Arabidopsis thaliana: one gene and its partners. The protein of the gene in region 1 binds, or shares a complex with, the protein of each later gene. Each region holds a gene or a part of one and is shown in the gene's direction. Other genes may lie near its edges. The genes, in order: JR1, BGLU21, AT1G54010 and GLL22.

What was found.
Region 2: JR1 (region 1) and BGLU21 share a complex: the UniProt entries of both Arabidopsis thaliana proteins name them as parts of the PYK10 complex.
Region 3: JR1 (region 1) and AT1G54010 share a complex: the UniProt entries of both Arabidopsis thaliana proteins name them as parts of the PYK10 complex.
Region 4: JR1 (region 1) and GLL22 share a complex: the UniProt entries of both Arabidopsis thaliana proteins name them as parts of the PYK10 complex.

What each region holds. Positions count from the first base shown.
Region 1 is NC_003074.8:5,593,656-5,601,481, reverse strand, and holds JR1 (Mannose-binding lectin superfamily protein), read left to right. Parts: upstream 1-3,437; 5' UTR 3,438-3,488; exon of another isoform or gene 3,489-3,510; intron 3,511-3,758; 5' UTR 3,759-3,772; coding exon 3,773-3,967; intron 3,968-4,050; coding exon 4,051-4,512; intron 4,513-4,597; coding exon 4,598-5,047; intron 5,048-5,137; coding exon 5,138-5,386; 3' UTR 5,387-5,801; downstream 5,802-7,826. Other genes in the region: MPPalpha (mitochondrial processing peptidase alpha subunit), read right to left, coding at 1-13, 103-270, 382-549, 636-932, 1,015-1,248, 1,538-1,576; JAL34 (Mannose-binding lectin superfamily protein), read right to left, coding at 5,960-6,208, 6,303-6,764, 6,847-7,299, 7,397-7,826.
Region 2 is NC_003070.9:24,698,306-24,706,928, reverse strand, and holds BGLU21 (Glycosyl hydrolase superfamily protein), read left to right. Parts: upstream 1-3,762; 5' UTR 3,763-3,933; coding exon 3,934-4,098; intron 4,099-4,300; coding exon 4,301-4,370; intron 4,371-4,487; coding exon 4,488-4,543; intron 4,544-4,630; coding exon 4,631-4,706; intron 4,707-4,873; coding exon 4,874-4,951; intron 4,952-5,041; coding exon 5,042-5,129; intron 5,130-5,218; coding exon 5,219-5,471; intron 5,472-5,591; coding exon 5,592-5,707; intron 5,708-5,785; coding exon 5,786-6,003; intron 6,004-6,110; coding exon 6,111-6,145; intron 6,146-6,229; coding exon 6,230-6,332; intron 6,333-6,423; coding exon 6,424-6,532; intron 6,533-6,611; coding exon 6,612-6,819; 3' UTR 6,820-7,061; downstream 7,062-8,623. Other genes in the region: BGLU22 (Glycosyl hydrolase superfamily protein), read left to right, coding at 1-170. UniProt on the Arabidopsis thaliana protein: Beta-D-glucosidase active on scopolin >> esculin >> 4-MU-glucoside > DIMBOA-glucoside. No activity with pNP-glucoside, oNP-glucoside and sinigrin as substrates.
Region 3 is NC_003070.9:20,158,089-20,165,651, reverse strand, and holds AT1G54010 (GDSL-like Lipase/Acylhydrolase superfamily protein), read left to right. Parts: upstream 1-4,787; 5' UTR 4,788-4,904; coding exon 4,905-5,163; intron 5,164-5,454; coding exon 5,455-5,573; intron 5,574-5,927; coding exon 5,928-6,396; intron 6,397-6,484; coding exon 6,485-6,798; 3' UTR 6,799-7,063; downstream 7,064-7,563. Other genes in the region: AT1G54020 (GDSL-like Lipase/Acylhydrolase superfamily protein), read left to right, coding at 1,946-2,195, 2,721-2,839, 2,913-3,113, 3,194-3,446, 3,552-3,847. UniProt on the Arabidopsis thaliana protein: Involved in the control of the PYK10 complex size and possibly substrate specificity. May be exported from the endoplasmic reticulum upon interaction with MVP1.
Region 4 is NC_003070.9:20,150,386-20,158,190, reverse strand, and holds GLL22 (GDSL-like Lipase/Acylhydrolase superfamily protein), read left to right. Parts: upstream 1-1,670; 5' UTR 1,671-1,825; coding exon 1,826-2,084; intron 2,085-2,408; coding exon 2,409-2,527; intron 2,528-2,758; coding exon 2,759-3,227; intron 3,228-3,314; coding exon 3,315-3,643; 3' UTR 3,644-4,037; downstream 4,038-7,805. Other genes in the region: GLIP3 (GDSL-motif lipase 3), read right to left, coding at 5,439-5,686, 5,776-6,031, 6,113-6,343, 6,699-6,826, 6,935-7,175.

The sequences.
Region 1 (7,826 bases):
CAAAATGTGTAGCCTGAGAATGGTGAAACAAAAAAAGAAAGATATTAGGAATAATAAACCTTCTTTTACTCAAAGAAGCCCATTGAAACGTCATATTTGTACCTCTCCACCCGTATGTTGACGGAAATCTCCACCGACATATTGAGACTTTGGCTCCGCAGGTCGGGGTACATTAGGGAGGTCAGATAGTAATGGCTCAACCACTTTTAGAAGTTCTTCATGATCAACTCCACTAGCTGCTAGGACCATTCGTGAAGCAGTGTAATTCTCCTGAAATTTCAGAACAAAATGAGAAAAAAGACACATCTACGAAATAACAAACCAAAAGCCAGTGATACTAGTTCCAGCGAATGCAATAATCTCTTGTGTTAACGGTCTTACAAAAACAAAATTCTCCAAGACCTCCCCAGTCAATCCAGTAATTGCAGATTCAGGTGCATACAATGGATTTGCCAATGCGCCAGAGTAACCAGCAGAATGAACTGCCTCCAAAAGAAAACCCATTGGATTCGTTGCGAATTCTCCTATCTCTACTTTCACCTTTCGGAGCTGCCAGGAGAAAAATGATGAAAACAGTGTAAAAAAATTGCTTAGCTTTAATGTTTGTGAGATACATGCAACATGACATGAAGTACCTCTTCATTCACTTCCCAATCCAAAAAAGCAGGGTTCCTCACACTATCAATAAGCACTTCAACCATTTCGGGAACATAGGTTTTGAGAGCATCAATTGTGTAACCCATCTGCTCTCGGGATGCAGAAGCTGAAGTATTACCTCCAATAGCCTCTATTTCCCTTACAAGGCGAAAATGGCTTCTGTTCAATGTACTCTTGAATGCCATCCTTTCAAGCAAGTGCGTCGCTCCACGGAATTGAGGAGTCTCATAAATAGAACCACAGTCAACGTATAAACCAATGGAAGCTGCTGGATTCTGAACAAAATTTCACTCAAAATCACTTTCCAGTAGTTTTTAACAGGAAGTTGATGTTGGGATTACTAAAAGAAGCTCTCACCGGAGACATCTCAGTGGCTATAGTCAGACCATTTGGAAGAGTAGTGGTCTTAAGTTTGCTAGGCTCAACATGGTCAGAGAGTGGTGGTGGAAGAGAGACACCAGCCAAGGGAATGTTCATAGAAGGAAGTGAACTAGAGTAGCCTCCACTTAGCCAGCTGGAGGAAGAAGAGCTCGTTGCAACAGCACTAGAACTTGCATAACGAGAAGCTCGAAAATTGTGGTTTAGAATGCCCTATAAACACACACACACACACACACATCCTAAGCATCATTAATCTCTTGATTCAATTAACATTGTAAAAATAAGAACTTTCGAAACAGAGACATTTCATAAACCTGCAAAAAGCATGAATAATGGCACCAGCTACTATAAAGCGATAAAATTGAATCAAGATCTATAAGAATCTAAGAGACCCTTTAATCCAAATCCAAAAACAATGAATCATACAAATTGTTCAATACTAAGCATTCTCCTAAAAAAACCAGAATCTCAATGGAAACAAGTGAAGTAGGACATTGACCTTAAGGGCCTTGGCTCGAGAAGCTGCCGTACGGTACATGATGATGACTGCGAAACCCTAGCTTGGTCAGATGAGTACCGGTGAATGTGGCTGACGACGGGAGAGAGATAGAGGCCGAGTCAGAGCTGAAAAGAAACGAGAGAAGGGAACGATTTTTTTTCCTAATTAAGGTTATTGGATCGGGCAATTGCTTCTAATTACATTGATAGGCCCATATGATATAATAGTCTTGGCCCAAATTATAACATATAGAAAAGATGAATTTAAAGCCCATGTATTGTAGTGGTGTGATCCTATTATATTTTCTCTCAATTATATTTTTTTTCTTTTCTTTTTCACGTACCATTGTGTAAAAATTCAAGTAAGGTAACGACATTTACATGCAGTCACAAATGAAACAAGAATTTTTTTGAGGTGTGTGTAAAGTGAAACGAAAAAAGTACTAAGAAAGTTTATCTTCTCTAAGTTAATAGAATTATTTTGAAACGTAGTATCCACATATATAGAAGACTCGTGTGTGGTGCATATATATACTGCATAACTTCAATTGAACTGTATTATATAACTATGACTATCCATCCATGGGAAGATAAGAATGAGAGCCGAATGCTAAAAAGCAAGGGACCCGAATTAAACAAAAATGAATAAAGGAGAAAGGTTTGTGTGATTTTGTCAATTGTCGTCGTTTAGTGGATGTGTAAAAATACTAAATACTATAACAGGTGGTGTGGGTCTATCTTTTTTTTTTTTTGGTCTAATGTTAAATGTGGGTCTATCTTAATAATGCAGAAATAGTGCAATACGATTCATGAGTGGAAAAAATCATATTTGGGTACTCTCATATATAGTCTCATTAATCATTATCACCGAGTGGGGCGTACGATACACTTTTTCTTCTTTATCTGTTTTCATCTAATCATCATACTGTATGTCTATATTATCGTAGCATTCATCATCGAGTTATGAAACTTATGCCAAAAGAAAAGAAAAAAAAATCATTTGAGATTGGTTAAATTTCTATTTTAAGATTTAAACCAAAATGTTTAAAGTTCTATAAGCTCTAATTAAAGTCTCTGCAGTCCATTAAAATGGATAATTAGGATTTGCCGAACTTGAAAGGAGTAATGCACATTTTGATGCTCACGTGAACAACGAGTTGTAACGGTTTCGCTATAATTGGAGGCAGATGAGAAATGGTCGTGTGTGAGTTTTAATACCACGTGATTAACGGAGCCACAATCATATTCATGGGCCATTCTCATGAGCTATAATTTGAGGTGTAGCTGAGAGATGGTCAAATGCCACGAACTTTGAGTATTTCTTTCTTAACTTTGCATTTTTTTAGACGTAAGTTTTTTTTTTCATAGCCTACATTTCTTTGACAACTCATAACCTACATTTTGAGAATTTATAAATGTCAATTTATCATTTAACCTTCTCACGATAATGCAATTCCTATGGTAAATGTCAACTCATAACAGACTCTACGAAGAATCTACGACACTGTGAAAATCTCTAATCCAATATTCAAAAGAGAGTTAAAAAAAAAAAAAAAAAACAGAAGAGAACATCTTTACGATGCTGCTTTCACGATTTTAAAATTTTAGGTGATTTTTTTTGGAATTTTGGAATTCTCTTTACAAATTTTATGTTGTAAGGTAGATTCAATTTTAAAAAAAAAAAGATATTTAGATTAATACAAGTTCCTAAGTCCTAACTAATCAAAGCTTCCATCCCTCGTGAAGCACGAGTTGGTTGAATATAAAGTCTCTCAAAAAGAAAAGAAAAAGTGGTTAGTATTGGCAGAAAAAAAAAGTGGTTAGTATTGGATGAAAAGAGAATTTAATGTTCGTATTCAAAAATGTTTTATATATACTATATAGTATATATACAAAATCCCAAGATTAACTCATTCATATTCCATCTTCATCTCCATTTCTCACACTCAAAGGTGTTTCTTCCTTCCCTTTAATGTACTCCTTTTTTCTTTCTTTCACAAAATCGTTATATTGATTTTTACTAGTTTTATTTGAATTATTGAATTTCTTTATATGATAATGAATCTATGAGAATATGATACCATTGTTTAAAGTAATGTCCTAGTGGAAGTATTATAGTCCTCAGATTAGATTAGTTTCATCATCATGAAAGTGCTTGAGTAGTGTCTGTTCATGGCTCTTGTGCGTTTACAGTTTCTAAGAAATGGGTACTATAACTTTAGGTTAAGAAGAAAAGATGGCGAAAAAGTTGGAAGCTCAAGGTGGTCGTGGAGGAGAAGAATGGGACGATGGTGGTGCTTACGAAAACGTCAAGAAAGTGTATGTTGGTCAAGGTGATTCTGGTGTTGTTTACGTCAAGTTTGATTACGAGAAAGATGGAAAAATCGTATCACACGAACATGGGAAGCAGACACTACTTGGAACAGAGGAGGTAAATATTTTGTTTTCAATGAGAGTTCTCTTGTCATCAACATTAACTGATCATTTTTGGTTGTCTTTTTTTTTTTTTGCTAGTTTGTGGTTGATCCAGAAGATTACATAACATCAGTGAAAATTTACTACGAGAAGCTCTTTGGATCACCGATAGAGATCGTAACGGCTCTAATCTTTAAGACATTCAAGGGGAAAACTTCTCAGCCTTTTGGACTAACCTCTGGAGAAGAAGCTGAGCTAGGAGGTGGCAAAATCGTTGGATTTCATGGAAGTTCAAGTGATTTGATCCATTCTGTTGGAGTTTATATAATTCCGTCGACTACACCGCTGACTCCGCCGGTATCAGGTGGTCTGACCAAATTGGAAGCTCAAGGTGGTCGTGGTGGAGATGTTTGGGACGACGGTGGTGCTTATGACAATGTAAAGAAAGTTTATGTTGGACAAGGTGACTCTGGTGTTGTTTATGTCAAGTTTGATTACGAGAAAGATGGTAAGATTGTATCACTTGAACATGGGAAGCAAACACTACTTGGAACAGAGGAGGTACACAAATCTTTGTATTTCTTGAAATTGCCCAAAAGTTTTTTTTTTCTTTCTTTCTAGTATTGATGTGTTTTTGTTTTTGCAGTTTGAGATTGATCCTGAAGACTACATCACCTATGTGAAAGTTTACTACGAGAAACTTTTCGGGTCACCGATAGAGATCGTCACAGCTCTTATATTCAAGACATTCAAAGGAAAAACTTCTCAGCCGTTTGGACTAACCTCTGGAGAAGAAGCTGAGCTAGGAGGCGGCAAAATCGTTGGATTCCATGGAACTTCAAGTGATCTGATCCATTCTCTAGGAGCTTATATTATTCCTTCGTCCACACCATTGACTCCTTCTTCCAATACTATTCCAGCACAAGGTGGAGATGGTGGAGTTGCTTGGGATGATGGTGTTCACGACAGTGTCAAGAAGATATATGTTGGACAAGGTGACTCTTGTGTGACCTATTTCAAAGCTGACTATGAAAAGGCTTCAAAGCCTGTCCTTGGAAGTGATCATGGGAAGAAGACATTGCTTGGAGCAGAGGAGGTTGTAATCTTGATTTCATTTTCAAATCTTGTTTTCTATAGTTATTGATCTAGAAACCTAAAGTCTTTAATTTTGTTGCAAAACGTGCAGTTTGTGCTTGGACCAGATGAGTATGTCACTGCCGTGTCGGGCTACTATGACAAGATTTTTAGTGTAGATGCCCCGGCAATCGTCTCGCTTAAGTTTAAAACAAACAAGAGAACATCTATCCCGTATGGACTCGAGGGAGGAACTGAATTCGTACTGGAGAAGAAAGACCACAAAATCGTTGGTTTCTATGGACAAGCTGGTGAATATCTTTACAAACTTGGAGTCAATGTTGCGCCCATAGCCAAATGATGTGAAACCAATCTGGATATCCCTGAAATTTGAATAAGGTTATGTTGTGAGTTTATGAAGTTGTGGTCTAGTGTTGTATTTTGTTTTTCTTAAGGATAATGCATCTGTGTGCTTTGCTTATCTAAAATCTAAATAAAGTGGGTTTCTGCATTGTGACTTTGCACAAACTTCTTTTGTTAAAATGAATAAGAAATCACATCAAGAAAACAGAACAAGACCACAACGAGAAGACTTGAAACTCTCTGAAGGTATATAAACAAACAGAACCTAGTAAATTAGAGTCAGCTTATTCAAAACTTTTAGACCATCATCAAGATCATTATAAACTTGGAGTCAATGTTGCGGAAACCAATCTGCTATCCCCGGAATTTCAAATAAAGAGACTAGAGAATTACTTTGAACACACTTCTTTTATTAAATCGGATCACAAAAATCCATCAAAGACACAACAGCAACAAACACAAAGAGAAGACTTAAAACACTGAAGCAGTAAACAAACAGAGAGAAATAAAGTAGAATCAGCTTATTCAAAGTGTGTAAACTATCATCAAAAGATACTTAAAATCTCCATAATTATTTGGTTATTGGCGCGACATGGACTCCAAATTTGTGAAGTAGATCACCAGCTCTTCCATGGAAACCAACTATCTTTTGACCGTCCTTCTTGAATTCGAAGGCTGTGCCAGCTCCTATTCCAAAAGGAATAGATACTCGCTTATTAGTCGTGAACCTAAGCATATTTACGATTGGTTCATTCCCAAAGATTGCATCGTAGGTGCCATCAACTGCCGTGATGTATTCACTTGGATAGTCAAGCTCAAACTGCAATTCAAGAAGCACAAAAAAGAACAAAATTGAGGATAATAAACTATACGGTTAAACGACGAAAGAGAAAGCAAGAACTAATAAAGTATACCTCTTCAAATCCAAGCAATGTGGGTTTTCCATGTTCTTTTCCTTCTACAACCTGACCTGCTTTGTCGTACACAAACGAGACCGCTCCAATACCATCTTGGGCTTGTCCTACAGACACTTTCCTTACACCGTCGAAAGCACCATCATCCCATAAAGTTCCTGCCTCACTACCAGCTCCTTCTAGCTTTTGGGATTGTGTTGCAGGAGTCAAAGGGGTGGTGCCTGATGGAGCTAAATAAGCTCCAATAGCATTAACATACTCACCAGCTCGTCCGTGGAACCCAGTGATCTTGTAACCTTCCTTCTTGAATTCAAACTTTGTGCCAGATACAATCCCAAACGGTCCAGCTGTTTTGTTCTTGCTAGTCTTGAAAATCAGCGTTGTCACTACAGTATCAACTCCAAAGTTTTTTTCGTAGTATCCTTCCACGGATGTTATATATTCGTCTGATTCAAGCTCGAACTACATAGATAAATGCATAATGAATAGTGAAATTAGTTGAAAAGGGAAACCAATAAAAATAGTTGGTCTTAAGCGTGCATACCTCTTCGAATCCTAGCAATGTTCTCGTTCCACGTTCATCTCCAAAAACAACCTGAGAACCATTTTTGTATTCAAACTTGACAGCTGCAACACCATCTTGGCCTTGTCCTACATAAACTTTCTTAACATCATCGTGAGAACCATCGTCCCATACAGCTCCTGTCTCACCACCTTCTGCGGTCAGCTTCAAAGGGGTTGAAGGAACAGGAGTGGTGGAGGATTTTGGAACGAAGTAAGCTCCAATGGAATTAACATGGTTGCCCGCGAAACCGTGAAATCCAATGATCTTCTTGTCTTGAACTTGAAGAGTAAATTTAGTATCAGTACTAGGTTCGAAAGGATAGATGCTGACCTCATAAGTGTTCAAGTTCGTTTTGAACTGGATTCCTAGCATGACGGTTTCATACCAACCCTCAACAGAAACAAGATACTCATCCGGATGGTTAATCACAAACTACCCAAAAAATTAAAAAGGGTTCACAATGTCAGTAATATAATCTTTGTATAAAATATAGTTAGAAACCTTGAAAGAAAGTTGTACGTAAGCTTACCTCTCTTGGATTTTGTCTACTTTGTTGTTTACCGTGTAGAACTCCTTGTTTTGTTACTCCACCTTTCACATAGTCGAACTTGACGTATTGAATACCTTCCCCACCGTAGCTTGCGTATATCTTGGTCACGCCATCGTAATCGGATCCATCGTCCCATGATGTACCTCCTGTACTGTTGCCTTGTGCTTCCAATTTCTGAGCACCTGAACCGGTACCAGTTCCGGTTCCAGTGCCAGTTCCTCCGGTGCCGGTCCCAGTGCCGGTCCCAGTGCCGGTTCCAGTGCCAGTTCCTCCGGTGCCGGTTCCAGTGCCAGTTCCTCCGGTGCCGGTTCCAGTGCCAGTCCCAGTGCCGGTTCCAGTGCCAGTCCCAGTGCCGGTTCCAGTGCCAGTTCCTCCGGTGCCAGTTCCAGTGCCAGTTCCTCCAGTACCG
Region 2 (8,623 bases), on another chromosome or scaffold:
CATTATTAGATAACTTTGAATGGCAAGATGGTTATAATAACAGATTCGGACTCTATTACGTCGATTTCAAAAATAACCTCACACGTTATGAGAAAGAATCAGCCAAGTACTACAAAGATTTCCTCGGTCAAGGTGTTCGTCCATCCGCGCTCAAGAAGGATGAGCTTTAAGTTATATTTTGAGGATTTGGTTTTCTGTTCAATGCTTCTTTCCTATGTTTTAGTTTGTGATTGATCATGATTCATGAAGTCTTGGTTAATAATAATAAAAGTGTTTTGTATTCCTTCAGTTTCTAGCTTATTTGACATGATCAAGAATGCTTTAGTATAAATATATTATCCTTATATGAAGGTATCTTTACCTTCAAAACATGAAGAAATATTGTATTATATATATTAAAAAAAGTCTTAAATTTACAAAAGGACTGATGTTTTTAAATATGAAGTAAAAATATCATAGTTTTTAAAATATTGAAAATACGAATTTACCTCTATTTAAAGAAATAGATTATGCAATAACTAGACGTCGTCTTAACAACTAAATCGTGCAAATATTTTAATGACTAATAACTTCAACAACTTAAACCGCTTGGCGATGAAATAAAACAATGGAAATAGTTTAACATTTTTAGAAAATCACCATGATTTGAGATCGGATAAGATGTCACACCGTAGCTACAAGTTTGAGATTAATCTTTCCAAACAATTTAGATAAAATCAAGTTACATAATTTGATATCGGATAAGATAAGACAATGTACATAAAAATGAACACAACATAATATCAGCAAGATGGTTCTAATATAACAGATTGGGATTCTACTACGTCAATTTTAAAAATAATCTCAATGTTATGAGAAACAATCAGCCAGGTATTACAAAGATTTCTTTGGTCAAGGTTTTAAGGCCCTGTTCGTTTCTACATTTGATAGATCCATCCAACTGATCCATTCAACATGTCTATTTGGATGATTTATTTAACTCTTGTTCGTTTCATTTTTAGTCGGTTCATTTGACTGGACCATCCGAATGAGATGTTCGTTTGCTTATCTCTATCTCCATCCAAATGATTTGTAATAATACAAATACCTAAACTACCCATGCTTTCATCTAATTATATTTTTTATTATTACTTGTAAACATGTTAATTTTAATTCTTAATCTAAAATATATTTAAAAGTAAATAAATTTCAAATAATAGTTTTTTACATTTATAAATTTATTTTACGGTTTTGGCGGGAAAACGTGGTTTTACAGTTTTGATGGGAAAACTCGATTTTACGGTTTTGGCGAAAAACAAAATTTTACGGTTTTGGCGGAAAAACGTGATTTTACGTTTTTGACTAGAAAACGTGATTTTACGGTTATGGCGGGAAAAACTCGATTTTACGGTTTTGACGGACAAACGTGATTTTACGGTTTTGGCGGGAAAACACGATTTTGCGGTTTTGGCGGGAAAACGTGATTTTGCGGTTTTGGCGGGAAAATGTGATTTTGCGGTTTTGGCGGGAAAACGTGATTTTGCGGTTTTGTCGGAAAAACAGAATCTTACGGTTTTGGCGGAAAAACAAAATTTTACGGTTTTAACGGAAAAAAAAATAATTTTGCGGTTTTAGTGGAAAATTTAATTTTTTATTTTTTAAAAATAGTTGTAAAATAAGATTTAAGTCTATTTGTTTTTTTATCGAAAAAATACATATAAATAATCAATTGAAATAATTAAGGTATTTTTGTTATTTGTTATTTTTGACTGGATCATCTCCATCCAAATGATCCAATTAAATTCAGCCAAATAAGTTTCAAAATTTAGCTTAAATTTTCAAAGTCATCCAGATGATTTATTTGGATAGATCATCTGAATGAACCGTTTTTGGCACCAAACGAACATCAAAACTCATCTCTATCTAGATGATCCATCTGACTGATGAAACGAACACGGCCTAAGTCCATCCGCGATAAAGAGGGATGAGCTTTAAGTTATATTTTGAGGATTTTTATTTCTGTTCAATAAAAAAAACAACTCAACGTTTATGCATGATGAATATTATACGTTCAAGATTTAGAAAAATAAAAAACAACTCAACGTTTATATATCGTGCAATGAAATCATCCAATTTAAAATATTTAATAATAGTCCTTCTGTATAACAACCACTAGTGTTCTTGTGGAATTTTTATTTTGTTTCAAAAAAAAACATGTTATTTTAAATTTCCAATTTTACTTTTCAAATAAACTTCCACGTTTATTCTTTAATTTATTCATATTTTTGTTTTAAATTTAACACTCACTCTGATTCATTATATAGGATATTTCAGAGATTTATTTAGGATGTTTTACTAATATCAATGCAATTTTTAAATATATTTTATTTGATTATTTGACTATTGGTTTGTATTTTGTATTTTTAATATCAAGAGAACAAATTTTATAATTAAAAATAAATTTCTTAAAGTGTGTGTTTTAATCTAAAACATCATATAATTTGAAATAGAGGAAATATCATCTAATAAAGTAATGGTATATTTGTATAGTTAATGATTTGTCTTTTTATTCGCGCAAAATGTGTCAATTATAAAATATAAAGAGGATATAATTTAGTTTAGAGTTTTAGACACGAGGACTATATATTGGAAAACAAAAAAGTAATGTAAACCATATAGATCATGGAATGAGTCATCCTATTAAACAGTTGTATTATATATTTATATTTTAGTCACTAACACATTAATAACTTAACGTCCATAACAAAATAAGATCCAAAACTCGATCTAGATCTATACGAGGCACTAAATGATCCATTGACTTAGGGCCGGCCGATTGGTTCGAGGACTCCTCATGCTGTAAACTTTTTTTTTGGACATACATGATATATTTTTAAGTCACGTTTTTATATTATATGTTCCACGCCCAATATAATATGTTCCAAACTAGGAAAAATAAGTAAGAATTAGTCAATGATCGAGATAATGCAATGAATCATCCTATTTATTAAATAGATTTACTAAACTATATATAATACAATGATCGAGATCGTGCCATGAAGCATCCTATATACTATAAAAATAGTCTTACTAAATACATACTCATATAGTTTAGTCATTCATTAGTCCAAACATTAAATGAGAGATCCTTTACTTGCTACCTGAATTTTTTCAGAATAAGGTATAACTTTTTTTCGAATTAGAAACTGATTTATGAAAGATTAAGAGTAATGTTCGTTAAACAAGTTAAAAAATATGTTTTTACAATTAAGTTTTGAAAAATAATAAAGTCTCCAATTATTTGAGTATCAAAAATAGGCTTGTTATTATTTAGGGTTTTCGTTGGTTTAAATGCAACGGGGTGTGGTTGTCATTGTGGAAGTTAATGGAAGTAATTGGTTGAGGTTTTAAACGTTATCGGACATTTTAAATGACTGGTTTACAGTTAAAAATATGTGTATTTACGGCAATTTTATGATTGGCTTAGCAGTAGATGCGACAGTGGTTTAAACCAAAAATTACCAAATAAATAATATACAATTATTAAATTATATAAAACACCAATATTATATATTTATATATATATGAACATAGTTAATTATCGAAACCATAGACAAAGTACATAAGAGTTATTCCGAAAAAGGTTTATTATGAAACACAAATAATCATATTGGGAGATTATGATATCCAAAATGGACTAATCAAATAATTAAATCCAAAATGGATGAAGAACTTATATTAGTTCCACGCACAATATAATATGTTCCAAACTAAGTAAGAACACAACGGTCGAGGTCATGCAATGAATCATCCTATATATAAAATAGTTTTACTAAACAATTATATTTTAGTCACTCGTTAACAAACAATCAAAATCGCTATATAAAGAACTCCGATTGGATGTAAACAAATCATCATAAACTTGTTCTCTTCCAGAAGAAACTAAAAACAAAAATGGCATTGCAAAAGTTTCCTCTCATGGGGCTGCTTTTGCTCCTAACCATCCTCGTCTCTGTGACAACAGCGGTTGATGATCCTGTTTGCCCGGCGACTTCCAAGCTAAGCCGAGCAAGTTTCCCTAATGGGTTTTTGTTTGGCACGGCTACTGCTGCGTTTCAGGTACAACAGATTTACTAAATCATAGTTCAAAAAACAAAAAGTAGTGTCGTTATTGTGTTTCTATCTGAATTCAAATCCATATTTTTAAAATATGGTTTTTTTTTATGTAAAAGTTGCTCAAAATATGTTATACCTATCATTTGAAATCATTTGTGCATGTGATATTCCTCAACTCATCAACTATTTTTTGTTATGTCATTAGGTCGAAGGTGCAATTAATGAAACTTGTCGTGGACCGGCTCTATGGGATATCTACTGTAGAAGAAATCCAGGTGAGTGTACTCGTATAATCTACATTCTCAATACAGTATGTTTAAATATTAAATTAAATTTAACTAATTAATATCAATACATAGCCATTAATTTTCTTAATTACTTTCAAATTACAGAGAGATGTAGTGGCGACCACGCCGATGTGGCCGTTGATTTCTTCCATCGTTATAAGGTATATATTAATATAAATTTAAGACAAACATAACTTATATTCTCGAGATGTTATTGAAATTTTGCCTTGTCTTAAAAATGTTTGTAGGAAGATATTCAGCTAATGAAGAATCTAAACACAGATGCATTCAGACTCTCAATCGCATGGTCAAGAATATTTCCTCGTGAGTATATGTCTGCAGATCTCTAGTTTGATTTTGTTTTAATCGAATTTGGTGAAATTAGATTTATGTGATTGTTATATAATACTAATAACCAATGAATTTAGATGATGTATATGTGAATGTTGAAGTATCAATAACTAATGAAACAAACTGTAATGCTTTATTAGATGGGAGAAAGGAGAAGGGAGTGAGTCAAGCTGGTGTGCAATTCTACCACGAGCTCATCGATGAACTCCTTAAAAATGGTTATATACATATAAAATACCTAGTTCACAAAAATACAAGTAATATAGTATCCTTATTTAACATTTCTTTCTATTTTACGTCATAAATAGGTATAGTTCCGTTTGTGACTGTTTTCCATTGGGACACTCCACAAGATTTGGAAGACGAATATGGCGGTTTCTTAAGCCAAAACATTGTGTATGTTTTTGTAAATTAAACAAAATACATTTAGTTAAGTTTATATGGAAATTATTAATTTGGTATCTTTTTTTTTTGCAAAAATACAGGAAAGATTTTCGAGAATATGCAGATTATGTTTTCACTGAATACGGTGGAAAAGTGAAAAACTGGATCACTTTCAACGAGCCATGGGTCTTTGCTCACGCAGGTTACGACTTAGGAAAGAAAGCACCAGGACGTTGTTCTCGCTACGTTCCAGGTTGCGAAGACCGAGAGGGACAATCTGGTAAAGAGGCTTATCTAGTCAGTCACAATCTCCTCAACGCTCACGCAGAAGCTGTTGAAGTTTTCCGCCAAAAGGTAGTTTACATTAGATATAAATCATAATTAATTATCAGGTCACATTAGATATAAATCACAATTAATTATCAGGTTTCGAATCTTAAAATAGGTTGTTTTGTGTTGTGTTTATGGACATAGGTTAAAGGTGGGAAAATCGGAATCGCACATAGTCCGGCTTGGTTCGAACCACATGATCTTAAAGATTCAAATGACGCTCCAACTGTTAGCCGTGTACTTGACTTTATGTTGGGATGGTAAGTATATATTATGTTAGAAAATGGTTTCTCGTATATAATTTCATAAAAATTAATGTAGTTATTAATTTTGTGTAGGCATCTGGAGCCAACTACTTCGGGAGATTATCCACAAATCATGAAAGACCTTCTTGGTTACAGATTGCCTCAATTTACTGCTGCACAAAAAGCAAAATTGAAAGATTCGACCGATTTCGTAGGGCTTAACTACTATACTTCGACATTTTCAAATTATAATGAGAAGCCAGATCCGTCTAAACCAAGTTGGAAGCAAGATTCTCTTGTTTCCTGGGAACGTAAGTTTTTTTTTGTTTTCCGTACATGAAACCAAACCAAGAAACTAAAGATAAAAGGTTTTATAATACTAATTGATATGCATACATTTTCACTTTTTATTTTTCAGCTAAGAATGTAGATCACAGCGCCATTGGTAGCATGGTAAGCGTTTGATTAAACTAGTCCTAGTTTGTGATTGTTAATTTTTGTCTACGACATAACATTTTCACCATTGCTTTATTTCAGCCTCTTACTGCTGCATTGCCCGTCTACGCTAAAGGATTTAGAAAGCTTTTAAAGTACATCAAGGACAAATACGCAAACCCGGAGATTATGATAATGGAAAATGGTAACTCGAGATTTATTGTTATATTTGTGTGTTGATTTAATCTTAACTCTTAAGAGTAATATACTGATCATTATAATGTTGTTTTTTCTAGGATATGGAGATAAACTTGGGACCACAGATTCGGTTGACGTTGGTACTGCTGATCATAACAGGAAATATTATCTTCAGAGGCATCTTCTGGCTATGAACGAGGCTATTTGGTAAGCCTTTTATTATTTGATAGATTGACTAACGATTCTATTGAATGGTCTAATTAAGAACATAATTGTGTTTGTGCAGCATCGATAAGGTGAGAGTTACGGGATACTTTGTATGGTCATTGTTGGATAACTTCGAATGGCAAGATGGTTACAAAAACAGATTCGGACTCTATTACGTCGATTTCAAAAATAACCTCACACGTTATGAGAAAGAATCAGCCAAGTATTACAAAGATTTCCTCGCTCAAGGTGTTCGTCCATCCGCACTCAAGAGGGATGAGCTTTAAGTTATATTTTGAGGATTTCGTTTTCTATTCGATGTTTTTCCTATGTTTTAGTTTGTGATTGACCACGCACGATTCATGAGTCGTGGTTAATAATAATAAAAGTGTTTCGTTTTCCTTCAATCTCTAGCTTATTCGACAAGATCAAGAAGGCTTTAGTTTTAATGACGTTATCCTTTTTGAGAATCAATATGTGAAGTTAAATATGTTTTACCTTCCAAACTTGAAGAAAAATTGAATCATACAACCTTAACATTAAAAAATTTATGAGTTACAAAATGATGTAAGAAAATATCATTAGTTTTAGAAAATTAAAAATACGAATTTACCTCTATACATAGAAATAGATTAGGAAATAATTTGACGTCGTCTTAACAACTAAGTACAAACATTTCAAAAACTAACAACTTAAACGTTGGCGATGAAATAAACAATGGCAATTCATTTTCCCAAACAGTTCTAATATTTTATTTTTGAAAGTCACTAGTTTAGATTAAAAAACAGGACGACCAGCAAGAGAAGATATCTCTTTTTCACTCATTTGGCCAAGCGTATTTTCTATATACCTTAAGGAAATAAAATCCATGCATGATGCAACCAAATAAATCCACCATGCAATACCAACATCATTCATTACTTTGGAAATTCATATTTCATTCTTAGCAAGCAAAAAAAAACAAAAAAAAACAATCAAACGTATGTGTTAATAATGAAATCATCACATTCTATCTTACTAGTAGTCACTTATCAAAAACGATTTATGTAAATAGTGATTTTCAAGATTTTTTTTTTAAAAGCAAAAAATTTAAAGGCCAACTCACTTTCAGACTGTTTCTTTTGTAAAATTGAGAATTCTTGGAGCATCTCCTATCAGTACTGTAGCTGATTCATTACTTATTTTCGTGCTTTTGATATGTGAGTGAGTGAACTAGAGTCGTAGATTGATAGCTTTGAAGCTGAGTTGGAAGGATTGTCTGTCAAAAAAGGAAAGACAAGACCTACCAAATTGGTAAGATTTGAAATATATGCATATACTGTAATTTATGCTCTGTAGTGAGTCATGTCTTTTGGTTTGTTTTTCTCTTTAACACTCATCTTTAGACATCTATTACAAGGCACAAGGATCACATAATAAAATTGGAACTGATCTTGAGCCACAAAGGATCATATACACTTTCTTTTAAAGAACCCTACTTGGAGAACCTACCATGGAAAGATAACAAAATTAATAAATCTTTCCAAAAAAAAATAAAACAAAAAAATAGTGAGAGTCTATAGAAGGTTCTCACCACTGGACATAATCTTAAACTGCATATGCAAATATAGGTTTGATCAAGATTTGTTTTTCAGGAGTACCAAAAAGGTTCCGTAGGAATGATAGATTGATAGATTCTTACATATACACAATAAAAAAAAAAAAAAAAAATTGTAGTATCAACATATCAATTAGAAAAACAACTGGGGCATTTTTGATATCTTCGAAAAGTATAATCCTTATCTTATAAACTATTTTTAACTAAACGCGGAAACGCATAGCTGGCAATCTTCCCTTACGGTTTTTTGGTAATTGTCTACTTTTGATAAGAGACGCAAAACGCCCCCCCTAAATCGAGAAAAGTTACATAATTACCCTGCTGACCTAGTCCTATATAAAAAAAGATACCTTCTCCTCTCCATTAACCAGTAATCTCAATCACAAACTATTTCCCCCCCTTCGTTCATCAAATCCTCAAGAGAAAAAAAAAATCCCCAAAAGCTTCCTCAAAACCCTAACACAGATCTCTCGATCTTCTCCGATCTGTCTTTT
Region 3 (7,563 bases), on another chromosome or scaffold:
TTGGATACAAGATTGTAACTTCATTCATGGATCAGCAGCTCCATGTGTTCACCTCGATAACGAAAACGATATTTTGAATTAGTCAAATTATTGATTGGCGATAACGTATTGCTTCTACGAATGTTATGGAATTAATTAATTAATTTCATGTACGTATCATATTTTCTTTTTTGAAATTTTGACTAACATTTTAACACTTTTTTTGGCCAGTAGTGAGCTGTTTTATGTTTTCTGATATAGTTTTTCTTTACAGCTTATTAAAAAATTTAGTCATGTGATATAGTAAAAATTTGCGTAATTATCTTAATTTGTGTGAAACATGTCATTATTAAGATAGTTTATCAAAAACATGTCATTATTACACTTTTTATAAAACATAATGAATATCTTACAAATCTACTATTTAAACTAAACTTATTCATAGATTTGGTCCATATCATTTTATACTTACTATAATTTTTATTAAGTTTACTTGATTTTAAGTTTATTGAAAAAGTGTGGGCACAACAACACACATGCATGTGTTGGTGGTGGTTGAGAAATAAAATAAAAATGTGAATTACAATAGCATTTTCCCCTATAACTAACAGGTTGTTCTACATGACTAAATATCTTCTAACCAGTGGCATTTTCATAGGCAATTATAAATAGTATATTAATTAGTGTAATATCTAAAAGAAAAAATGTATATAAGACAATAAAAATACATGTATTTAAAGCTAAATGGAGAAAAAAGAAGCAAAAGTGTTATGCTAGAGATTTGATCCCGGAGTTGAGGGTGTCAAGTGACCCCCCTTTTTCCTAAATAGGTCCGCCCCTGTTTCTAACTAACATATTTCTTCAAAAATGCAAAAACAAATTGAGATTTATCTTGTCGCAACTTTTTTTTTTTAATCATTATCATGTCGCAGTTTGATGGACCCGTGATTTTGAGTTTCTTCATTTTTTTCTATATCATTAATATTATATATATATATATATGCATATATATTTGAGTTTGAGTCAGATCAATTTATACTGATTAGTTGTAAAGAATTTGAAACTTTGAAGCATGGATAAAGGGTTTAAATAAGGTTTTAGGGATTTAGGAATTCATGTTTAAGATTCGGTTAGAAAGTATAGGATTCAGTTTTTACTTTTTAAGATTTGTAGTTTAGTTGAATATACATTGGTGCTCTTTTAATTATTTTTAACAAAAAGAAGAAGTTATTTTTAACAAGATAAAGACTATTAAAAAAATCTCTTGAAAATAAATGATGTTTTGGTTCAACAAAACTTGAATACATTAATTATTAAGGGTTAACAAAAAAAATTATTAAGGGTAATTTAAAAACTGTGAGAGAAAAAACATTAATCATTGCTCAAGTCTTTCTTCTTCTTTTTTTGGTCGCTCAATGCTCAAGTGTGTTCTGCTTTCTAGAGCAGCAACTTTTTGACAAAAGGAAAAAGAAAAACATCTTTCTCAACCTTATTAAAAATAGAACAAACGTGTCTAGGTAGAAGAACTGTAGAAACTAACTAGTTAGTTTCAATTGATATAAGACATAGCAAAAACGTGAGAGATTGAATATTCACGGCGTTGTGGTTTTCTTTTGCTAACAATGATTTTACATGACATTTTTGCGAAACGTTTTATTTTCTTAAAAAATTGTGTTACATAATTGTTTTTTTGTTTGTTCTATAATTACGTAACAGCTCTTAACGTTTACAATAAATATATATTTTCTAACGTTTATATTTTTATTAGATATTTTTTCCCCAAACTTTTTTCTTTATTTTAAACTGAGTTCGTTTAATCTTTAATTATAGAACATTCTTTTTTTTTTGTCATCAATTATAGAACATGTTAAAAGCTCTTTTATTTCCAAATATTTTACAATATAAATATATTAGAGGACCGAGGAACTTATTGTACCTCATCATTCTTCCTTCTGGTTAACTGAAAATGGAGTGTAGTTCAGTGAGTGTACTAGGAATATTACTGGTATTTCCTCTCCTTCATAACCTTGTCACCATCTCCGGGCAGAATCTTCCGGCGGTGGGTTTGTTCACTTTCGGAGATTCCAACTTCGACGCTGGAAATAAAAAGTTCCTCACAAGTGCTCCACTTCCTCAAAACTTTTGGCCTTACGGTAAATCTCGAGATGACCCTAAGGGCAAGTTTTCTGATGGCAAAATTGTCCCGGACTTTATTGGTAAGTTTGTAAATTTATCTCTATTTTACACTTTTAATTTTTTCAAAAGGAATCAGATTGTTTTATTATATCTTTCTAATCCCAAGTAAACATATAGAGGACAACATATGGTTTGTGGATTGATGCTTATTTGTTATCCTTCATGTTAAAATTCTGTCCCAATACAGTTGTTAAATATTTTACTTAAATCAATAAATGATTTTATAATGAGTTCGATTAAAAATAAGCAATTGCAACGGGTACTTCAATATTGCAAACTCTTTTATAATGTGTGAAAAGTTGGTAAAAACGTAACGGGCTAGTAATTGTTTTTTCAAAGGTCTCAATCTGAATCAGCCTGATTTCTTTAATATTTTAACAACGTATACAAGATGAACACGCTCTTTATAGGTATAATGCTATAATGCATATCATTTAACCATTAAGAAAACTAGCTACTCGTTTTTATAGGTACTCTATACTAAATGGAAATTTTGATTGGTAATTAAAGATATATGAAATTGATGAGGGGTGAATAAATCACAGCAAAATTCATGGGGATACCACACGATTTACCGCCGGCGCTAAAACCCGGCACCGATGTGTCACGAGGAGCCAGCTTCGCCGTCGGGTCCGCTTCCATTCTTGGATCTCCAAAAGATTCTGTAAGCTCACTTAAAATATTTGTTAATCAATCGTAAAGCAATGTCATAATAAAGATTCACATTTTTTTGGTAGTTGGCTCTGAATCAACAAGTGAGGAAATTCAATCAGATGATATCAAATTGGAAAGTGGATTACATTCAGAAATCAGTGTTTATGATTAGCATTGGTATGGAAGATTACTACAACTTTACCAAAAACAATCCTAATGCTGAAGTTTCTGCTCAACAAGCTTTCGTTACTTCTGTCACTAACCGGTTTAAGAGTGATATCAACGTAAGTATTTTCATCCAAAACTAATCAAAAATTAATACGAGTTAGTGATATAGATATGTTGTTATAATGATTAATTGCAGTTGTTGTATTCATCTGGAGCTAGTAAATTCGTCGTACACTTGCTAGCGCCATTAGGTTGTTTACCGATCGCAAGACAAGAATTTAAAACCGGTAACAATTGTTACGAGAAACTCAATGATTTGGCCAAACAACACAACGCTAAAATTGGACCGATTTTGAACGAAATGGCGGAAACTAAACCGGATTTCCAATTCACCGTTTTCGATTTCTACAACGTTATTCTTCGCAGGACACAAAGAAACATGAACTACCGTGAGTTACAATTCGCCATTCAAAGTTCCACACTATCATTAATATCGTTATATGCTTTTACTTTGAAGCAAACATTTAATAATACTTGTTGTTATGACTAATTAGGGTTTTCCGTGACGAATATATCGTGTTGCGGTGTTGGGACGCATTATGCATATGGTTGTGGTTTACCTAACGTGCACTCGAAGTTATGCGAATATCAAAGATCCTACCTTTACTTCGACGCACGTCATAACACAGAGAAAGCACAAGAAGCGTTTGCTCATCTTATCTTTGGAGCTGACCCAAATGTTATCCAACCTATGAATGTTCGTGAGCTCATGGTGTATCCTGTTAATGAGCCTATGCGTGAGTTTTGGGAGGATCCAATGGATGAGAAGTTATCGTTAGTCCAATACTAGTGGATCTGTCTACCTCGTTTAGTTCTTGAGCTCACTATTTTCTATCTCTAGATCACGTACGAGCTCTTGGAATTTGTAATGTATTGTTCTTAATTAGTTGCGAAGTAAAATAATTAATACTGTTTAAATCCTCAACTCTGCTTATTTTCATAAGAAAAAAATAATCAATTAATGGGTAATTTGATAGACCTGAGAATATAACCAAAGCATATATATGACCTGCTTTGTGCTCATATTAGACAAGTTTCGGGCCATACGCACTCATTAGAACGAAATGATTGAATTTGGTGGAATCATTTAAGACTTATGGATTTCAAATTACATAACTCACTTGAGTCATTTTATTTACTTTTTTTTTTGTTTTTTTTTGCAATTCTTGTTGTAATGAAATAGTGGAAATGGTTTCAATTTTTAACTGTTCCAAAATTATTTTATAATAAGTGTTGTTTTAGGTTTTAATATAAAATTTTGGTTAAAGTTCCAAATTTTATTTATACTGTTTTAATGTGTTAACTAGAATGAATTAATCATAGTAAAACAATTTTTTTTTAGTTTGTAGTATTTAAAAAAAACGAACACTTGATCTGAAATGCATGGAGTATTTTCTTAGTTACGTTTTCATAGGTGAGAGGTTCCATTTGACATGTTTTTTTATATATTTTATTGAAATATAGGAATATGCATTTAAATCTTCTTCTGCCCTCAATGCATGATCGATCTTCTTGATACTAGTAACAATAAATGTATCTTGAAAATTAAGAATAAATAAAATAGAAATGGGATACCAGTTGTGCATTAACTAGGTGTGTAGAAAAAAGAAAAAAATGAACCTCGAGCAACACGTTATCATATATTCATATTTAAATAACAATATTTTTCAATTGCTAAATTGCTTTTTTCTTAAAAACAATCTTTTTGATAAAAAAAATTCAGTTGCCAAATTGTGTAGTATTTACAATATAAATATAACGTATCGGTCTACGAGCTAAGACACAAAAGCAATCTTCTACTCATTTACTGTTCTGTTTCACTTTCTCTCTCTCTGTATACTCTCTAAATGATGGCAAAAAACTGTAATTTAGTCAGTGTTCTATGTGTATTTTTGGTATTGACCCTCTTTAACAAACCCATCACCGTCGCCGGGCAGAATATTCCGGCGGTGGGCTTGTTCACCTTTGGTGACTCCAACTTCGACGCCGGAAACAAACAGACTCTCACCAAAACCTTACTCCCTCAAACTTTCTGGCCGTATGGAAAATCCCGAGATGATCCCAACGGCAAATTCTCCGACGGCCTCATCGCTCCAGACTTCCTCGGTGCGACATTTTTTTGTTTGTATAACTGAAAGATCTTAATCCGAATTCTACAAAACATAAAACATGCAAAATGATATTTTTTATCATTTAAAACGTTAGTACAAATGACGAGTGTTGGATATTAGTTAATTACTAAAAATAACGGTTAAAATATTTTAAAAATAAAAAAGGTTCAGCTGGTATTCACTTTTCGAAACACATGGATTTTTTTTTGATTTTTTTTCGTTAACAGATTCGGAGATTATATTTGTATTATATGAAAACCTAATATATTTAATGTACAAAATGCAGCTAAATTCATGAGGATTCCGATCGTGATCCCGCCGGCCCTTCAACCGAACGTCAATGTCTCACGTGGAGCTAGTTTCGCCGTCGCTGATGCTACTCTACTCGGAGCTCCGGTGGAATCTGTAAGTCAACTTAATTTCTTACTATAATCATCTTATTCAAAATAAATGAACCATGTCTGTCTTTTATTGACCCGGTCATACATAGCCGGTCCTTAATTTACCTTCAGGTGGCCTTAGCACAATTGGAAGATGGCCTTCTTAATGATATAAAATATATTAAAGGTTTTACCAAATTACTGTTTTTATTTTTTTTGGCGAATGATTTAGTATATATCTTCTGGTCTAAAGCATGTGCTTGACCTGTCTTATGGACTAGCCTGGATCATACTAAACGGCATATTTTTGTTTTATTAAAGACATCTGACTTTAACTGCAATTATAATTTTGTCTTTTTGTCTTTTTTTGTTTTTTTAGTTGACTCTGAATCAACAAGTGAGAAAGTTCAATCAAATGAAAGCAGCAAATTGGAATGATGATTTCGTGAAGAAGTCAGTGTTTATGATATACATTGGTGCAAACGATTACTTGAATTTCACCAAGAACAACCCTAACGCCGATGCATCTACTCAACAAGCTTTTGTCACTTCCGTGACCAACAAGTTAAAGAACGATATCAGCTTGTTGTATTCATCAGGAGCGAGTAAATTTGTGATCCAAACCCTAGCTCCATTGGGTTGCTTACCCATCGTCAGACAAGAGTTCAACACCGGGATGGATCAATGCTATGAGAAACTCAACGATTTGGCTAAACAACACAACGAAAAAATTGGACCGATGTTGAACGAATTGGCTAGAACAGCTCCTGCATCAGCTCCTTTCCAATTCACCGTCTTTGATTTCTACAACGCGATTCTTACTAGGACGCAGAGGAACCAAAACTTCCGTGAGTTGGTTAATTATCATGGTTTAATTTCATTTTTAAATTTTTTTATAACTTCTAATACCATGTGTTTAATATTTGCCATTCTTAGGATTTTTCGTTACGAACGCATCGTGCTGCGGAGTTGGGACACATGATGCTTATGGTTGCGGTTTTCCTAACGTACATTCGAGGCTATGCGAGTACCAACGGTCTTACCTATTCTTCGACGGACGTCACAACACTGAGAAGGCGCAAGAGATGTTTGGTCATCTTCTTTTTGGAGCCGATACAAATGTTATCCAACCGATGAACATCCGTGAGCTTGTCGTTTACCCTGCCGATGAACCTATGCGTGAGTCTTGGGTGCCCCCAACGTCAGCCACCGTTCAACTCAGGGAGAGCCGCGGTTACGAGTATTACTGAGTCTCTAAAATCAATATTTAGGGATCGATCGGGGTTTCTATAAGGGTTATGAGTCAAATTATAACTGGATCAATATCGGAATCTTGAGTAGTTTTAATTTCCAATGTTTTCATGTTTCTCTAGTGAGTTTTCCTCCATAATAAAAGATTGATCTCTGCAACTCTTACCCCTTGCAAATCTTTTATTTAAAAGAAACAAAACTTTTACATAAATTTATTTCTTTTTTTTGTCAACCACATATTAAAAGGTAATTCCATAATTAAAAAAAGAAGGCACAAGAAGCGTTTTCTCATCATCTTATCTTTTGGAGCGGACCCAAATGTTATCCAACCTATGAATGTTCGTGAGCTCATTGTGTATCCTGTTAATGAGCCTATGCGTGAGTTTTGGGAGGATCCAATGGATGAGAATATCATCGTTAGTCCATGACGTCGACGTCGATGCTAGTGAATCTATCTAACTCGTTTAGTTCTTGAGCTCACTATTTTCCATCTCTATACCATGAACGAGCTCTTGGAATTTGAAATGCGCTGTTATTAATTTGTTGAGATTTAAAATAATAATGTAACCTCAACTCTGTTTTTTCCATAAGAAAAATCTCAATGAGTAACGTGATAAACCTGACAATATGAACCAAAGCGTGTCCAATGACCTGCTTTGTGCTCAGATTAGACAAGTTTCGGGCCACATGCACTCCATTAGAACAAAATGATAAATTTTGGTGGAATCAATTTAAGAAGGTAGTGGATTCAATTTGAGACCTTT
Region 4 (7,805 bases), on another chromosome or scaffold:
TCAGATTAGACAAGTTTCGGGCCACATGCACTCCATTAGAACAAAATGATAAATTTTGGTGGAATCAATTTAAGAAGGTAGTGGATTCAATTTGAGACCTTTTTTACCCTCTTTTTTTGTTTGCAATTATTCTTGCAAGGTAATATTCGAAATGATTGGCAACAAAGAAAATAAAAAGTAGAAATTATAAAGTTCCAGAAAAGATAAGTTTATACATCTGGCTTTGGGGCCGGCTATATTTACAGTTAATTTTCATATGAAATAAAACCAAAAATCATATATATAGATAATAGATGAACCAAACAAATGAGGCGTTCTTCATATAAAACTTCATCTTCACGTAAGCAAATGTGTTTTATTTTTATCTAGTTTCTGCACTCTTTTAGAAACAAAATTGTTCACCTTTCTGTCGTTCTAATGATTCCAATCAAATTGATAATTACTAGAACTTACAAACGAATAAGGACCAACTCTTCTGTATTTGATATAGACACTCTCTCAAAACTTAATCTTCTCTAATCTTCACTGTAAATCTTAAGGAACAACTCTCCACAAGTTTTTATAATTTATATATACATAACTAAGCTATTACCTATACTATTAAGATTGTGTCAACGCAAAATTGAGTTATTCTTTCTTATTTAAATTTGAACTATTAAAAATATGTAAATAATTAACGAAAATCTTTGTCAAAACACTATTAAGAAAATAATTTCAAAAATTAACATGATGATAAAATATAGATTGTTAATTGTTTTTTTTAATTGTTTTCAAGTAATTTAATCAATAATATGATGAGGATGATTAAGGAAATTACTATAATTTATCTTTTAAAGAATATCTTAGCATAGGTATGAGTTGTTTTTGCAAAATTTTAATAATTGATTTAAGTTATCTAAACGTTATTAAAATTATTATCCAAATTATCTATAATTATCCGAACATATTCGTCTCTTGTCTATTCTGGTAGTGATATTTTATGTATCTATATTATTCATATATCGTATCAGTATAATCTGACTTATTTAAAAATATCTATTTGATATGTATTTTGATATTAAAAATATTTTAATTCGAGTTGTGTACTCGTAAATTATCCAAAAGTTTTAGCAGAAATAAACATATCTACGTATATGTTGGTGTTGAAATTTTTTTGTTGAATTTGGCTAGTCAGCAAAATTTAGTTTTATGCAAATGGTTACTGCAGAAATTACTGAATCTGGTTTAGTGTTACCATTTACACCCTATATTTCCGTGAAATTTGTATGTTTAATTCTACTTCTTGCCTCTAAATGCACGATCTTTTCAGCACTTCGAAGAGGTTAAAGTGACTTTTACCCGATGAGAAGGGAATTGTGTGGCAGATAGAATTGCTAGGGAATCTCTTTCTTTTCTGAATTATGATCCCAAATTGTATTCTATATTGCCGGATTGGGTTAAAGCTTATGTGTATTCAGACTCTTGTGTAATTGTAAGTTGTTGTTGAACCAAAAAAAAAAAAGCACGATCTTTCTTGGTACTCGTAGTAACAATAGATATTTTGTTGAGAATTAAAAATAAAGTAGAAGAGAAACCAGTAATGCGTCAGACGTGATTAAGCGAACTATATAATATAATTGATCGATAATCGTTTGCTAGTGCGTTAAATAGGTGTATAGTAAAATGAACCTCGCGCTACACGTTATTATTTGTATAGTAAAATGAACTATTATTTTCATTGCCAAATTGTAGTACTTGCAATATAAATATAACGAATCGGTCTACGAGCTAAGGCACAAAAGCAATCTTCTTCTCTTTTCACAGTTCTGTTTCTCCCTCTCTCTAAATGATGGCAAACAACTGTAATTTAGTCAGTGTTCTATGTGTAATTTTGGTATTGACCCTCTTTCACAACCCCATCACTGTCGCCGGACAGAATAGTCCGGTGGTCGCCTTGTTCACCTTTGGTGACTCCAACTTCGACGCCGGAAACAAACAGACTCTCACCAAAACCTTAGTCGCTCAAGGTTTCTGGCCGTACGGAAAATCTCGAGATGATCCCAACGGCAAATTCTCCGACGGCCTCATCACTCCGGACTTCCTCGGTACGACTTCTTTTCTAATCGAATCCTACTCTAATCTTTAAAACATTAAGTATGTTAAAAATAGTATGATTACGTAAAAATAATCATAAACAGTAGTATTTATAAATGCATTTTAAGTATGCTACTAGTGAATTACTTAAAAAATAGTAAATAGTATGATTAAAAAAAAGATTATAAATGCATTGGTTCAGCGGCTATTCACTTTTCGGGACACATTCTATGAAATTTTATTTATTATTTTCGTCAACAGATTCGGAGATGTAGTACAAGGAATGATTTGATATTATATGAAAAACTAAAATATTTTTAAAATACAAAATGCAGCTAAATTCATGAAGATTCCGCTCGCGATCGCGCCGGCGCTTCAACCGAACGTCAATGTCTCACGTGGAGCTAGTTTCGCCGTCGAAGGTGCTACTCTACTCGGAGCTCCGGTGGAATCTGTAAGTAAACTTAATTTCTTATTATATAAGAGTCATGTATATATCTATAGTCAACACCTAATTCAAAGAAAATCAATTATATCTGTCTATTATTGACCCGGTCATACTAAGCGGGATTCTTTTTGTTTTACTTCACAGAAAAGCATGTGACTTAATATCAATAAGCTTTACTTTAATTGCACTTATAATATTGGTTTAATTTTTGTCTTTTTCTCTTTTTTGGTTCTTTAGATGACTCTGAATCAACAAGTGAAAAAATTCAATCAAATGAAAGCAGCAAATTGGAACGATGATTTCGTGGCAAAGTCAGTATTTATGATATACATTGGTGCAAACGATTACTTAAATTTCACCAAGAACAACCCTACCGCTGATGCATCTGCTCAACAAGCTTTTGTTACTTCCGTGACCAACAAGTTAAAGAACGATATTAGCGCGTTGTATTCATCAGGAGCGAGTAAATTCGTGATCCAAACCTTAGCTCCATTGGGTTGCTTACCCATCGTCAGACAAGAATACAACACCGGGATGGATCAATGCTATGAGAAACTCAACGATTTGGCTAAACAACACAACGAAAAAATTGGACCGATGTTGAACGAAATGGCTAGAAACTCTCCTGCATCAGCTCCTTTCCAATTCACCGTCTTTGATTTCTACAATGCCGTTCTTACTAGGACGCAGAGGAACCAAAACTTCCGTGAGTTGGTTAATTATCATGGTTTAATTTCATTTGTTTTAGTTTTATAACTTCTAATACCAAGTCATTAATATTTGTCATTCTTAGGGTTTTTCGTCACGAACGCATCGTGCTGCGGAGTTGGATCTCACGATGCTTATGGTTGCGGTTTACCTAACGTGCATTCGAAGCTATGTGAGTACCAACGGTCTTTCCTATTCTTCGACGGACGTCACAACTCCGAGAAGGCGCAAGAAATGTTTGCCCATCTTCTTTTTGGAGCCGATACAAATGTTGTCCAACCGATGAACGTCCGTGAGCTTACTGTTTACCCAGTCGATGAACCCATGCGTGAATTTTGGGTGCCTCCAACGCCAGCTACTGTCCACGCCAGCGACTCTAGCTCGTCCACTAGCCGCGGTTACGAGTATTACTGAGTCTTTTTAAAACTCAATCTTTAGGGTCAATCAGGTTTTCTACAATGGTCATGAGTTAATTTATAACCGAATCAAAATCGGAATCTTGATGTTTTTGATTTGCAATGTTTTCCTGTTTCTCTAGTGAGTTTTTCTCTATAATAAAAGATTGATCTTATCAACTCTTTCCACGTCCTGGAATTTATCGAGAGTTCATTAGTCTATCGATTTACTCTAATCTATTCGATATCTTATATTCCTTCTGTTCATTTTTGTTTGATTTTTTAGAAAAAACATAAATATTAAGAAAATATATTAAATGTTGCTTTTAAATGTATTGTTTTTTGTGATTTACAATTTTCAATAACTCTAAACCAATGATATTTACTAATTTGTATTGAAGTTTACAATTTATCAATTATAACTAATAACTATTGTATTAAAAATCTAAAAAATCAATATTTTTGAAATAATTTTTTTTCTAAACAATTAAACAAAAAGAAACAGAGTAAGTATAAATTATGTAAAAATATATGACTGATTCGTTTTATGACACCGAATTAAAATAATAAGCTAATTCCTTTTGGTTTCTTTTGACCCAACAATAAGCTAATTATAATTATAAAACGAATATGATAAAGTATCTTTTACCAGCTGGGAAAATATAATACTCCCAAACTGAAAATAAATATCATTACCAGTTGGGATTATTTTATTACAGTAAATACATATAGTGGGCATTAGTGATCTGATTTTGTGGATCATAAGCGACAGGAAAATAAAAATATAATAAGACCAAACAAATCTCATCCGCTAAATCTGGTCATAAGTTTAAGTATTTTTTTTCTATTTAAATAAGAAAAAAATGACGCTAAATCTGGACATAAGTTAAAACATACAAATTGAAATAGTATAATTTAAAAATCTCAATAATTGAAGCAACACACCGATCTTGACTTTATCTCTCCTTTATCTACGTTCAATGTTGATAATTAATTCCATAAAATAGTAGTAAAACGATTTGGATCCATCACATGATAAATATAGTAGATCCGTCTAATATGGTAACATTTTATTTGTCGTATATAATTGAAAAACTCAACTGTTTATATTACTATTCAACACGTTGGTGACTGCCGAAGTTTCTGGTTCACACTACAGTCTCACACATCAACACATATGAGGTCATGTACTTTCCAAATTGCAGTTTATACAATATGTAGAGAAAAAAATATGAGAAGACATGAGGAACAACTTTCAACAGCGACTAACCTCATCAAGGATATCGATCGAACAGTCCGATCTAAAGACTCACGGTAAAGGCAAGTTTGATGATGCTTTGTGTAACTGGTTTGCCACAAGACGTCTCTAATATTTCAAAATACAAACTGTTTTCCTAATTAAAATTTAAGCTCAACATTTAAATTTAAACAAATTATTGCATAATGTAAACAAAGTTGTTTTTGGTGAATCAAATTTACATTCGTACAAAAAAATTAACAATCGTCGTAGGGTTATTAATGGTTTTTCTCGCGCTGGCGGCTAATCTTCCCGTGCAAGAAAGGTCAACGCAAATAAGCCCTAATAATAAGGTTTCTGCTACGACATGCTTGTTTCTTGTGTCTATCTAATTGTCTTTGTACCTTAGTATTTCATCAAGTTTATTTACTTTCACCATAGAATTGTTCTCCTTTCCACACAAAAAAACTAATCGATTTTATTATTATCCTAACTCAAAAAATTACATGACTAACATTATTAGACAATATATAGTGACCTCGTCAGTTATTTTCATATACATACATATAGGCGATTTTTATGTAAGCCTAAGTTCAAATAAAGCTTTGAGATTATAAGGTCTAGTGACATTAGGCGGCCCGTTCCAAATCAGCTCTGCGATTTGTCGATGAGCCTTTTCCGTCAAATGAGAGGAATCATAGAACAAATAATCGGTAACGTTTTCGCATAGGCCGTAACCTTGCGACGGTCCTATTCTGTTTCCACACGTATTGATTCCTCTCAGTGGTCCGCTTCCACAACATGCCTTCTTCCCTTCCTTGAACCCTAAAAATTAACAAACATAACACAAAATGTTCTTAAAGGTAACCTATAGATCGATCTCTTACATATATGTAAATACCAAGTTTAGTAACCATATTTTGAAGGACTGTTGATTCTTTCGGAAAGAGAAGTGTGATAGTCATGAAGGGCGTATCTAAAACCCGATAATTGGCGTTGTAGCCGCCTTAAAACATCGGGAAACTTCTTGTTGTGCATGTCGATAAGCTCAGCGACAGGTTTGAAACAAGATCCTATCTTTGTTCGGTCTCTTATCAATGAATTTGGTGAACATTCGTACGGTCCCACGTTCAAAAATCCAAACTTTCTTCCTCCCATTTTATACACTTCCTAAGATCACATAACATATATATATAACTCAGTTTTAGAAAAAAGGTAAATATTTGAAATTATTTTCCGATTTTTGTTTACCTCGATAACGAATGTAATGTTACCGATAACAAAATCGACGAATTTCTCTTTGGAGTTGGATTTGAAAGTTGAGGAGTTTGCAGAGAAAGGATAAAAATAGTCGTTGGCCCCGATATGAAACAGATAAACAGCTCTTGAGAAAACCCTTTTGGTTTCTGCATCTCCTAGTTCAGATCTCAAGCTCTTTTCAACATCTTTGAAGTTGTTTAACTGTGTTCCCAAATTTATCACCTTACATGATAAAAAAGAAGAAGTGGAACATATCAATTAATCAAATAACACTATATATCATCGGTTAAAGTAATAAAAATTACACAATTGTTTTAATTTCTACGCCCTTTATTTCAATTTAAATATCTTTCTAAATTTTTTTCTCTTTCAAATAAATACCATTAACTAATATTTCAATATCTATTAAAGTCAAAATGAAAATTCATTAACATCAATTATGAAATAAACCAAAATTCCAAGAGTTAATAGTTTTTGTAAGTACATAAAAACAGAAACATTTAAGGTTGCGCATGAAGAATATCAAAACAACATTTCTAGTGAAATGGAACAGTAGTAAAAAACTGATGATATTTACCATTCCAAGAAAGGATTCGGCTAAAGCTCCGGCGCCAGCAGAAGCAAAACTTACTCCATAGGTAAATTGATTGTTACCGTTGTTTGGTTGTAGATTTGGCGGGATCGACGGCAACCATGCCTTTTCGGCTTCCAGGTCAGCAATTAGTGAATAAAAAAATGTTAAACATTCCTAGGAAATAAAAATAACAAAGCAGAGTAGTTTTGTTATGTTAACGATGAAGTCGGGAATCAAACGTCCATCGGATAATCTTCCGGTGGGAAACTTGAAATTGGTTTGACCGTACGGCCAGATATTAGACCGGAAACTTGAGACAGTATTGATGTAGTTGTTGTTTCCGGCATCAAAAAGAGAATCTCCGAACACGAACAAAGCAGCTTGATTTGTTACCAGATTATTATTGTCTATGCAGTTGATTGAGCCGATCGACAAGATTATTGTGTAGACGAAGAAGATGATCAAAACTAATCGAACCATGTTTAATCGTTAACGTTTATGTTCTGTCCACAAGCTAGCACTTGTTGAATATATATATTTATAATTTTTTTTATAACAGTTTTGTTCTAACAGTTTTTTTTTTCTTGGTTATAGAGTATAGACATTCTTAATTATGCATGGTCAAGTTTGTTGTTCTAAAGCAAAATTTTCCGATGCACGGCTTTAATCAAAATCGATATGATGTCTTGTTGATTAAAGTATGTAGGTGACAAAGACAACATACATGTTTTAATCATAGATTTTCGAATTTGTTTTTATTTATGTATATAGAAATATATAAGAACCTACTCCATCTAATCTAGAAAATAAAACGAGTTATCATACAAAAATAATAATCCGAAAATTAATACCAAATTGTTGTGGAAATGTGAGGATACGATCGAATGATTATGCGAACGAAATATTGTAGTCATATAGATTATTATAGTGTAAGTGTGATCGGTCTAATACAGCGACAATACCATATGACAAGTTAAACTAGTAAAGTTTATTGTAGCAATCAAAGTATTTTTTTTTATTTTTTTAACAATTTAATGAGGATAAAAACACAAAAGGTGTAATGGAAATTTCCAAAGATTTATCGATTTGTGTTTATATATTTCAAATCAC